Linked DNA regions of Arabidopsis thaliana. The protein of the gene in region 1 interacts with the protein of each later gene in a biochemical or structural test. Each region holds a gene or a part of one and is shown on either strand. Other genes may lie near its edges.

Evidence for each region. Proteins that work in one complex are often made in the same cells at the same time.
Region 2: the proteins of PLDALPHA1 (region 1) and GP ALPHA 1 form a complex in vitro, tested with the Arabidopsis thaliana proteins (one study listed by BioGRID).

What each region holds. Positions count from the first base shown.
Region 1 is NC_003074.8:5,328,193-5,334,279, reverse strand, and holds PLDALPHA1 (phospholipase D alpha 1), read right to left. Parts: upstream 4,087-6,087; 5' UTR 3,861-4,086; intron 3,454-3,860; 5' UTR 3,446-3,453; coding exon 3,350-3,445; intron 3,227-3,349; coding exon 1,324-3,226; intron 1,240-1,323; coding exon 806-1,239; 3' UTR 535-805; downstream 1-534. Other genes in the region: AT3G15740 (RING/U-box superfamily protein), read left to right, coding at 1-401. UniProt on the Arabidopsis thaliana protein: Hydrolyzes glycerol-phospholipids at the terminal phosphodiesteric bond to generate phosphatidic acids (PA).
Region 2 is NC_003071.7:11,195,312-11,201,632, reverse strand, and holds GP ALPHA 1 (G protein alpha subunit 1), read right to left. Parts: upstream 4,638-6,321; 5' UTR 4,165-4,637; exon of another isoform or gene 3,813-4,164; intron 3,676-3,812; 5' UTR 3,547-3,675; coding exon 3,487-3,546; intron 3,399-3,486; coding exon 3,326-3,398; intron 3,231-3,325; coding exon 3,193-3,230; intron 3,103-3,192; coding exon 3,013-3,102; intron 2,838-3,012; coding exon 2,760-2,837; intron 2,658-2,759; coding exon 2,550-2,657; intron 2,468-2,549; coding exon 2,366-2,467; intron 2,125-2,365; coding exon 2,069-2,124; intron 1,694-2,068; coding exon 1,559-1,693; intron 1,477-1,558; coding exon 1,383-1,476; intron 1,292-1,382; coding exon 1,232-1,291; intron 1,146-1,231; coding exon 1,066-1,145; intron 989-1,065; coding exon 811-988; 3' UTR 531-810; downstream 1-530. UniProt on the Arabidopsis thaliana protein: Exhibits a fast rate of basal nucleotide exchange. Guanine nucleotide-binding proteins (G proteins) are involved as modulators or transducers in various transmembrane signaling systems.

The DNA of each region.
Region 1 (6,087 bases):
ACATTCTAGATTCGCTCCAAGTCCCTCCTTATTCTGCTATTGTTAACACTCTTGCTGATGAGATTAAGGATTTGAAGAAAGATGGTGCGAAAGACGTGGAGAGGGTACAAGTAAAGATAGGTGTTACTGTCTCGAGGTTTCCCGGTGAAGATGATCACGTAGATGTGCAAGTGCAACTTGCGGTTGCTCCAGCGAACGATGAGGCGGTGGAGATGCACTTGGAGACGCTTGTTGTTGAGAATGAAGGCTATTGTGTGATATGCATGGATAATATCCGAGTTGGGTCAGATGTGGAAGCGGGTCGAATGCCGTGTTCGCATGTGTTTCATCGTACTTGTGGAGAGGAATGGCTTAGGAACAGTGGGATTTGTCCGGTGTGTCGTGCCCTGTTTCCGGCTTAAAACTTTAAAACCCCTTTTGTATTAGTTTTGTGCTATATGAACCCTAGTTTCATGCTTTATCTCTAGATTGTCACTTTCACTTTTCTAATGAAGTATGTTTTACCTAGTTCATTGCTATTTTTGTTTAAACTTTGATGTGAAACACACTAAATAAAAAGAAAAGGATCAGATATAAGATTCATAAGTCCAAAGGTACATAACAACAACAAAACAAGATCACAAAGCTACATTCTCTCACCACGTCATTGTACGAATATAAAAACCAAAGGGGTAAAGAAGTGCATCATCATAACAACCATTTGACTTCTTAATTCTAAAGGTAGACACTCAAGTTTTATTCAAAGCTACAACAGCAGCAAAGCAGAGAGGGAGAGAGAGATCATTACTTGACATGCTTAGTGAGATTAGGTTGTAAGGATTGGAGGCAGGTAGTCTGATTTGGTGCCGAGGATACGGGCCTTTGTGTCCGGGAAGAATTCAAATCCTGGAAGCTCAGTGATGTCGCCTTCGCTGGCTACACCGATCGGGTAGCGGAGCAAGTGACCAGGAAGGTCATGTTCGAGTGACTCACTTGAGTAAAAGTCCCAATACTTGTCAGAAATGCGGTTAACTTTCTCAATGCATTCCAAGCTTGATGGATCGAGGAAGGTTTCATCGAGCATTCCCAGGTGTTCGTACCAGAGTGACATACGAAACCCATGGATCTGGCCACGAGCTGGTTGTCTATGGGACAAGTGATGTGGTTGATAACCTCCCATTGCTATCTCAGAGTCTCTTGCACCGTCCATTGACCTCTGGTTGATGTTAGCAGACCCAATGATAATGTATTCATCGTCAACTGCAAAATGGATTTCATCAAATGAATCAGGCACAACATTTATGTATACTTCTCAAGTTTTTTTCCGTTGAAATGTGAACTTACCGATCATCATTTTGGTGTGGACGTAAATCATGAAACGGCGTGCTTCTTGCGCCCTCATGTAATCAGTGTCGGGGTCTGGTTTCTCAGCAGGCTCATACTCTCCATCTTTCTTGACCTCACGGTTTCCAAGACAGAAGAATGTCAGATAGTTTCTTGGATCTTCCTCAAGACCCTGGGCCCTGAGAGCCTGAATCACATCCTTGTACATCATCTCCATGGTCCTCCTCTGCCAGTCTAATATAGCTTGCACTGATCCACTCTCTGGGAGACCTTCTGGCCACATTGGAACCACAACATAGACCCTGAACTTCTCTCCTTTCTCAATCTTGCTAACTATCTTCAGCGACAACTCTTTTGGGATTAAGTGCAGGGCATTGATGTCCTCAGGAGTAATACCATCGGCTGCCCAAGCAAAAGAACTCCCAAGGAAGTACTGGTTTTCAACGTAGATGAAATCCTTAGCACGTCTGATTGCATGAATGTAAGCATCTTGGATACTCCTATCAATGATGTTATCTTTCCCACTTACAAGCCCGGCTTCCGCAGCAGCTTCAGGCGACTCGGGAAACCCAGCAGCAGCTCCTCCATCAATGGACCTAAACAATTGGACATTCCACACATCGTGGTCCTCTTGGAACATAACAGGAGAAGGGGTGATAATAATATCACTAAGATCTCTCAACTTAACCAGAATGTCTTTACCACCCTGCTTGCTCCATCTCTGCTCGAAGTTGTACATGACATCCCAAGCAATTGGACCTTCAAGACGGGAGTGAATGTCATGCCAAGGCTCCCTTGGACCACCTTTAGTGATAGCAGCACCAGTGAAGTTAGGTTGATGGAAGTCATCATGGTGGACTGTGTCCAATGTCCTGAACAAGGAGTGGAACGGAGTGTCGTATCTTCCATCACAAAGATCAATACCGCCAACAAAACTCACAATTCTCCTCATTTCTGATCCTCCTCTGCTTGGCATCTCGCTGTCCACAACAACGATTTTCTGATGATGCGTGAACATAGTAGAGATCTGCAAACTTTGGACTATGCTACCACCGTCATCCGGGTTACGAGGGCACAGAATACAATGGACATCACTTCCCCTGAAGAAATTCTCGGTCTCTTCATCATGAGTAGCCATGAGCCCATCTTTCTTCAGCACATCAACAGAAGTTCTGTCATCCCAAACAAGCAAAAGAACCCTGACACCTTCACTAGCCTTCTTCTTGAGTAGCTCACCAATGGTCACATCACCTCCAGGCTTAGGCCTCCTCGAGTCCCTCACTAAAGCAATCTCAGCGTAAACAGACCAACCAGTAATGTAGATCAAGTGTTTTGCATTGCTAATAGCATCAAAAATATCCTCCCAACATCTTTGAGGCTCATAGTTCTTCCCTCCAGCGAGAGGAATTCTAGGGACAAAGTTGTCTGGAATATGAGCATCTTGGTACAGAGAAACTTTGCAGCCTTGTCTCTGCGAGAAGAATGTGTATGGCACTCCAGGGAACTTGGCACTTTTGATACCCATGTTCCAGTTACGATCCTCCTCAACATGGAAATATTGAAGCTTGACATGAATCTTTGATCCTCCCTGAATAGGGTTTCTGTCATTATCCAAGATCTCAACCCACTGATCCACTTCCTCGCCGTTAATGACTTGATCAACAGGAATGTAAGCTCTTCCGATAAGGGTAGCTCCAATGGGATTATCATCTTTAACAGTGAAGATGATATCAGAAGCCAAGTGAGCACAGTAAATATGAAACGACTCATACCACTTTGGGTTCTTAGGTTCATTTTTGATCTTCCTGGTTCTCCCAACTCTAGCTTTTTGCAGATCAATCGTCGCATACAACTGTGTTTCTCCTTTACCAACACCAATCGTCTCTTCTACATTTGCCAGAATCTGAAAGTTTCATCAGAAAAATAAAGATCAAACTGTGTATTAGTCCACAGACTAATTTGAACTACAAAATAAGACGTCAGGATTGGCGCAAAAATGATGCAATAACAATGGATCTTATTATACCTTGCCAAGGAAGCCTTGCCTAACACCACCACCATGGAGGGCATCAACTTCATAGATGGTAGCATGTAAAGTCCCGTGCAACAGATGCTGCGCCATTTTTTCACCTTTAGCAATAAGAATTGACCAGAACACAATATTAGTTTCTGAAAAAACTAAAAAAAAAGAAAAGCGAGATCTACGAATCTCAAAGATCTGGTATCAAAATTTTAGAGCAGCTAAATTTTCGCAGTATTGTCCTAAAAACAAGGAACACTAGTTGAATAGTGAAACTAAAGTCACTGATCTAACTCAAAACTAAAGATCGTATCAGTGTAACACTAGAGGACAATAGCAAATGAACCCGATCGTTGATTATCCAAAAAGAAAAAAAAAAAAGTCAGCGAGTTCCACTTATCTCACAAAACAAAGAACCACCTAAATGATCAAACGAGTTTTAATCGCAAAACAAGTAAAGAGAAACATAAAGATAAAATGAATGAGATTCATAGAGATGAAGTAGAGAAATACTAACTTCGAATTATTCCCAGAAACTGAGATCTGATCGGAGAAACTCAATCGTTCGGTGGTCAGAAGAAGAATTCGGGATCTGGTCCGTGATGGAAGCTCTTTAAGAGCTACTTTGTGGAGCTGCTGTAATTTAATTGGAGCGTGTGGGGCCACTTTTTCATTATTTTCTACAGATCTTTGATGATTTAATAGTGACCCAACGTACGAATTGTTATTAGTTTCAGCCCTACACGTTTTTAGTTTCACAATTAGGCCCTAAATAGTTACTCTCAAGAGATTCCTTTCAATTTATAACTTATAATATATAGTTAATGTTACTAGATAACGATATAATTGTGGTTGGATTATGTTATCTCACATCCTAATAGTAATATTTTACGTTACATCTAAAATTATATAATAGAGTGAAAAAGATAAAATGGAAAGTTTAGTGACTAATTGAAAATCTTGAAAAGTTTTAAGAAGGCCGACATAAAAAAAGGAAATAAATATTCAAAGTTGTAATAAAATCCCTGACTTGAGGATAGGGGAGACAAAAAAAAAAAAGAGATATCCAAATCGTGCGCCCGACGTTCTGCATCCAAACGTTACGACATCGTTTCCCAAGCTGAATCCTCACCGTCCATCACAAGAAAACTATATGGTGTACTTTTCTCAAGTAGTACGTGTTCGCATAATGACATGAATTCACTAGCAATAATTTAATTGCTTCATCATTGGATCTCACACATCTTCGCTATAAGATTGGGTAGTTTTTTTTTTCGTTTTTTTTGGGTAAAGAAGAATGTGATAGTTGTATAAAATATTACTCCTCATAAACGGAACGTGGCCACATGGGGATTATACAATGTATTTGCATTCTCTGGTATCTAATAAGTTCTAATGTACTAACCATCAGCAAAACCGTCAATCATAAAAATGCGGTGAAGAACAGATCAGAGGTGTCTCATATATGGGGATCAAAGGGAAAATTAAGACAGTATTGGCAACTCGGCGTAATGCTAAATTGTAACACAATGGTAGGATACAAGGGAGCTTATTTTGGAGCTTATTCCCCTATCTATGTTTATTATTTAGCAATGCTCACGGCAAGGTTTCTGATACGCAGCCACCGCTCACCGGTGACTTGTCTGAAAAATCTGGACTTAAAATAACCCAATTCCTTTGTTTTGCTTCTATATTAGCTTATTTTAGAAAATAGGACTTTTGAATTTTAGTTGACCCAAGGAAAAAATGAAGAAGGGACGTAGAAACTAGAAATTTAGGTGCTATTGATATTTGAATATGGGCCATAATTGGGCCTGGTGATTTAACATTCTGTACACGTATTTAGGCCTGTATCTTGGAATGATTTTTTTTTTTTGTGGTAGGGTAAAACTTGGAATGAAATTTAGGTGCACCTATTGATATTGTCCGACTGTCTGAACTGAATTTGATAAGTAGTACGTGAATCTTTAACTGTTTAGTAGGAAAAAAAAGAAAAAAAATCAAAAGAATATTACTATAATTAAACTACAATAAGTACATAATTAGTTTTTTTTTTTTTCTTATAAGCAAAAAGAAAAAAGCTAAAATAGAAAACCCAAAAGCGAAGCCGAAGAAAAGAAACTAAAAGCGAATCATGAAAGTCAAAAATAGACAGAAAAGATAAGAACATCTCCATCAGTAGTCTCTAGTATGGTTTTTCACTAACTAAAAAATATAAAATAATAATAAAGTAGGAGAGAGAGAAAAGTAAATAATAGGTTACATTTTAATAGGTTAAATTATTATTTTCAGAATAATTATTTAAGTAAATAATAATATTATATGATAATAATTAAAAAACAATATTTTAAGATAATCCACCTAATTTTACCGTTGAAGATGGCCTAAGAAGCAAACACAAGTTTCTTCGGATAGATTATATAAATGTTTTTTGGCTCAACATCTTCTTCAAACTAAAAGTTTGAAAGGAATTACTAATTAGTTATACGATCCGGTTTATCAATCACAACAGATAACCGTCGTCATATAAAACCAAGGAACTAGAATCGGGAAAGCGTAATGATATGAGCTACTTTATTCGCTGCCCGTTCACAAGTTCTAGGTCTGCAAACCAATAAACTTTGTCATTCACTGCTCTCTAGGTCTGAAAACCAATAAACTTTGTCACTCGCTTACATAATTTACAAGTTTCTAGGACTGAAAACCAATAAACTTTTGTCAAAAGAAGACAAATTTAGCATGAT
Region 2 (6,321 bases), on another chromosome or scaffold:
CTTGATCTAAATGGTTCCCTAACAAAACCAATTTCGTGATCTTTGAGAGTTTCGTATTAATCAAACTAAGAAGCGATTGTTATCATTATCGTATAACAGAAAAAGCAAAATCAGAACACCATTGGAAGAAAGAGAGAACAACAACATACATGTTTCAGAGGATTGCTCGAAAACGGAATCAAAAACAGAGGAAGAAGAATCAATGAAGCTTTTTTTTTTTTTTGGGATCTATTAACGAAAGAGAAGAAGGAATATTCTTTGACGTAAGAAACAACAACGGCGAAGAGTTTTTTGCTTTCAGGGTTCTTCTTTCTTCGGTGCAATTATTTTTAAAGTCGCTTTTTCGAATGTTCTGAAATCACGGTAGACCCCATGTGTTTTACTTTTATTTCAGTTTTTACATCATATTTTGTATTTGTTCAGTTTCACCCCCATACTTTTTTTTAATGTAAGAACTTTTTCATGTTAGGAACATTCCAAAACTTTTTAGTACTGATAAAGTTACGTTTTGTGTTGTGTTTCACTTTCTAGATTTCGGGATGTGGATGCCTCATTTTAATAATAATATAACCCCAAAAACAAGATCAAAATGAGATGTTTTTGATGAGAAAAAAAAATAAGAAGTCAAAGACAGAGGAATGTTAACAAAAACAATGATAAAATAGAAACTAGTCGTAGCCATCGAGACACATTAGATTTTGAATCGCTAAGTCTTTTGTCCCGAAAGATAAATTACACGGTCATTCAGTTTTCGAGTTTTTCTTATAATAATAAGGAGAGGTAATTTACTAGAGATATGTAATAATAAGGTCATAAAAGGCCAGCCTCCAGTAAATTTCTCCTTCTTAGTGTCTCATCTACGAGCTTGAACGTTTTCTTTACAAGCTTCTGGTCCAAAGCCGTCGTCCTGTAGATTTTGAATACCCTGTCCACTCTATCCGGCGCCGTGTTCTGGTAATATAACTCCTCAAACTTCTTCTTCACAAACCTGAATCCAAATTAAAAATAAGGTCATATAACGGTAACAGTTTGGCGGGAATCAGTAAAGTTTGGAGACAAGCTTACTCGTATGCATGCTCAATCTCTTGTTTCCCACTTGAAACTGGTTGGTAATCTCTGAACCACTCGCAAACGTTCAACGGAACCTATGCACATTGAATAAGAAAGCGTTATTGAACAAAAAGACTTGCTTGCCTATCAAAACAAATAAATATGCTTTAGTTCTTCTTACGTCAAGAACTTTCTTCTCAAATATGTCGAACTTGTTCAAGAACAGCATGAAGGATGTTTTCTGCGTAAAGAGAACCAAGTTTTTGTAACCAAACCCATCTCAAGAGTGTCTTTAAATTTTTAAAAGATGAGATAAAAATGTAACTAAAAACCTCAAAACAGGGTTGTTTCAGGACCCAGTCGAATAATTCCTTGGTCTCCATCATCCTGTTTTTCTGCTCGTCCTCAAAGAGCGTTTGGTCGTACCTATGATCAAAACTCAGTTAATGTTTTGGCAATATGTGGACAGTACGAGGATATCTTATAATTTATAATGAAGTGAGCTTACTCGCTGATGGCAGCACAAAATATCACAGCTGTTACACCTTCAAACAGATGAATCCATTTCCTCCTCTCATTTCTCTGTCCACCCACGTCAAACAATCGGTACACTTCACCACTTTTTTTATTCTCTCCCACAGGGCTGCATAAACGAAGCTTTATCTCATATACCATTTGTGAATTCATCTTTGGTAACGGATCATTACAAGTAGATTCACCACAACAACAAGTTTGATATTGGTATGGAATTCATATGTTCTATTAGTACATCTTAGTGGCAATCATAGGAATCGAATCCGTAAACACTTTTATTCATTTCACCAAATAACTTACACATCGCAGAGAGACTACATTAACAAGATTGTTGCTGAGCTGTTAACACAGCTACTACAAACCGCCTAGCTAATCATATTGCCTAGTGAACCAGACTAACACTTAGAGCTTATCAAACAATTACTCATCTATGAAAGACTAACAATCAAACAGGAAAAAGGGTAAAACAAAAAGTAGTTGGTACCTGAACTGTATTTCCACGACACCAGTTGTGCGAACTCTTGCATAAAGTACATCCTCCTGAAACACCAACATAGAAAAAATGCACCAATGACAACACATTCCGGAAGACACATGTCACAGAAATTGCATATTGACTCTGGTCTCTGAAAATGCTAGCTCAACTAGGCTAATATGGAAAGCAAAAGGCTTCTGTTTGTTAATACATTGATCCTCCGAGGCTGATCCAATGAGTTTTATTCAACCATTTTAAGATCATTACTTGAAATGTTTTCAACAAAGAATGATACTTTGGTTATACCTTAGTTGGAATATAATTTATATCTGATAGTCTCTTCAAGTTCTCCATCAGATATTTCGTACAATCAGGAACCTGAAGCTCATTACCACGAGCACAAGTTTCCTACAAAATGAAACGTTTAAATCATGTATTCAACTTTGAGTGCAATAGTAAATAAAACGTGCACACACACACACAAACACACCTGAATTGCAGGATCCTTCCATAGTGTTTCTATTCCCTCAGCGATGTCCTTGGTAAGACGTGGATAGTCTAACCTACCACCAATCTCAGATAGTTTCTCCCCAATTGCCTGATATTACGATAATAAGTTGACTACCATAAGACAAGGTACTCACAAGACTCAAAACTCTAACAAAGACAGCTCAAGTGACCTATGAATCTAACCACTTACAATACTTTCAGAAGATAACATATATTTAGCAGAATCTGTTTCATTTTGAGCAAACTCCTTTGTTCCATCATGCAATAACTGTTCAACAATATAGAGTAGCTATTAAGCTACATGTACAATATACCAAGATCAACATATGAAAAAAATTTGATTACTCATATAAATGATTCTCTAGATTGTAAATCCAAAAGAACTCGAAAACACCGCCAATTAGAAGGATAAAACCGACACAGTCATTTCAAGTATTGCATACTTTTATAGTCTGATAGACATTGGCATGAATGACTGGAACATAGCTCTTTAGTTCTCCTTCATCAAATCCCGTTTGGAATAGAAGTTTTATCTGCAAATTAGTAAATTTGTATCATTCAATTAGCAGGATTCATAAGTAAATTTAAGTAAAGAGTACAATCAATTTTCCTTGTGGACTTGCCTGCTTAAAAATTGTAGATTTTCCAGATTCCCCAGCACCTTTACAAAACACAAGTCAGAAAATTAGAGGAAAACTATTACCAAAAGATTCATCAAGGCATGCCATTCACATTTCTAATCCAAGGTCTACATACCAAGTAGCAAAAGCTTCCGAATATGCTTTTCAGCCTTTGCTTCTTGCTCTATCCGTCTTTCGATTTCAGCAGCCTGTAGATTAATACAAACCAAGTTAACTCTTGAAGTATCAGAAATAATGCTCCCATACATCGAGTGTTACAAGAGCTCTTAAGTCAACCTGTGTATTCTCATCAGTATCTTCAGTATGATGTCGACTTCTACTGCAGAGTAAGCCCATGATTGTTTCTATATCCCCACAGGTAATAACATAGAAGTCGAAAACTATCAAGATTCAAGCTCCACAGCTAAAAACAAATACTTGAGCTTCCAGCTACAGTTGCTTCTCATAACAAGACAATGCCTACACCTACTTATGAAACAATCAATACTTTAGCTCAAAATTCATAAATATACATAAAGTTTCACTCACCAAAATAGCAAACATGTTCAAAGAATGCAAGTAAGAAAAAGCATTAAACTTTATAATATATACTGGATTAGTACCTCTCAAATGAAACAAGTTCAGTAGTTAAGAAAATGAGCTCTAAAAGTCGAGTAGCTAACACCATTAAGAAATTCAAAAACTGTGAGATAGCAAATCAAGTAATAGATAGAGTTCACACTTGAACTGCTATAATCAGATCCAAAGAATCATAATTTTCATTTCCAATCTACAGTAACGACGAACTGATCTACAAAACCCTAAACTTGAAAAACAAAACCAATTCGAAACGAAACAGAAAAACAACAGAACAAGGAGGAGAACTAGGACAAGATCTGAGTAATAAAAAACAAAACTTTCATAAAACCCAAAAGAGTAAATTTGGGGTAAGAAGAAAAGTAAAGTAGAATTCACCTGAAGAAGAAAAAGAAATGGAGTCAAAGGTAGTGAAGAAGATATCGGAGTTCGCAAACAAGAAGAAGAAGAAGAAGAAGAAAGTACAAAACAAGGTCTGAGAAGAGAGCAGAAGAAGAAGAAGTAGTACTTCTGCTTCTCCTGTTTCTATTATTGTTTTACCACTTTCTTTCCGCTTTAATGTTTTTGCTTCACTCTTTTGGATTTATTCTCTCCTTTTTATTATAAATACATAAAATGCAAATTATGAATTTAATTAAAAATAAAATAAAAATGGATATATTTTTAATATTTGGTCAAAAAGAAAGAAAGAAAATGTTAAGCAAAGGGGAAGACGAAATTACGCCGAAAGGTCCTGAGAGAGAGAGAGAGAGAGTGGTCAAATGTTGAAAAAAGATGTGCCTCTCGTGACGATAAAGAAGATTAATTACGGAACCTATATGCATTTTTATTTTATATACTATTAAGTTAACCATTATTGGAAGAGAATTACTAAGTGTGGCAAGACAAAACAAATTTGGAATTTTATGACATCAAGTCCTTGTATCGAAATATCTTGATTTTTGCTTTGCAGTTGCATTACAAGCTGGACTCTACTTATATCTAGAATGGGTTTTGCTAGCTTAGGAAATATATTGCAGTTTTGATTTAGGAAAGAAAATAAAGATTCAAAATCGATAAAAACACAACATATCATATAGTACTTTAAATCTTCAACCTACAAAAACATCACATCCGTTAAATCCTTACAATCATTAACATCGACTTGAACTTCTCACAAAATGTTTCCACTGAGAAACGGTCTTGGCGAGTGATGGTATATTTATTGGTTGGGCTTAAATATATTTCAGATGCAAAACCATATTGAATCAATAAATTATAAATACATAGCTTCCCTAACCACTTAAACCACCAGCTACAAAACCAATAAACCCGATCAATCATTATGTTTTCATAGGATTTCCTGAACATACATTAAATTATTTTTCATTTTCTTGGTGCTCTTTTCTGTCTTATTCACGTTTTAATGGACATAATCGGTTTCATATTGTAAATCTCTTTAACCTAACGAACAATTTAATGACCCTAGTAATAGGATAAGAAGGTCGTGAAAAATGAACGAGAAAAAACCCACCAAAACACTATATAAGAAAGACCGAAAAAGTAAAAAGGGTGAGCCATAAACCAAAAACCTTACCAGATGTTGTCAAAGAACAAAAATCATCATCCATGATTAACCTACGCTTCACTACTAAGACAAGGCGATTGTGTCCCGGTTGAAAAGGTTGTAAAACAGTTTGAGGATGCTACAAAAGTGGATGTTAAGTATGAAGCGGCTAAGGTTTTGGATTTGGTCTAGGAGCACATTGGTTAAGCAATATCTTCGGTGGAGATTGAGTTTTTAGAGATAGTAGATACTAATTCATCTATGGAGACATGCAAATTCATCAAAATGCTTGGATGAATTAGAAAAACTAGGTGGAGAATACAGTAAAAAAATTCAAAAAGTGCATATTGTTTGGACAACATTAATATGTACAAATAGTTTACATTTAAATGTATTATTTTACTAATTAAGTACATATAAAGTTGCTAAACTAAACTAATATAATTTTTGCATAAGTAAATTTATCGTTAAAAGTTTTCTTTCTAGCCACTAAACAACAATACAAAATCGCCCAAGTCACCCATTAATTAATTTAGAAGTGAAAAACAAAATCTTAATTATATGGACGATCTTGTCTACCATATTTCAAGGGCTACAGGCCTACAGCCGCCGAATAAATCTTACCAGCCTTAAACCAGAACAACGGCAAATAAGTTCATGTGGCGGCTGGTGATGATTCACAATTTCCCCGACAGTTCTATGATAATGAAACTATATAATTATTGTACGTACATACATGCATGCGACGAACAACACTTCAATTTAATTGTTAGTATTAAATTACATTTATAGTGAAGTATGTTGGGACGATTAGACGGATACAATGCACTTATGTTCTCCGGAAAATGAATCATTTGTGTTCAGAGCATGACTCCAAGAGTCAAAAAAGTTATTAAATTTATTTGAATTTAAAACTTAAAAATAGTGTAATTTTTAACCACCCGCTGCCGCAAACGTTGGCGGAAGAATACGCGGTGTTAAACAATTTT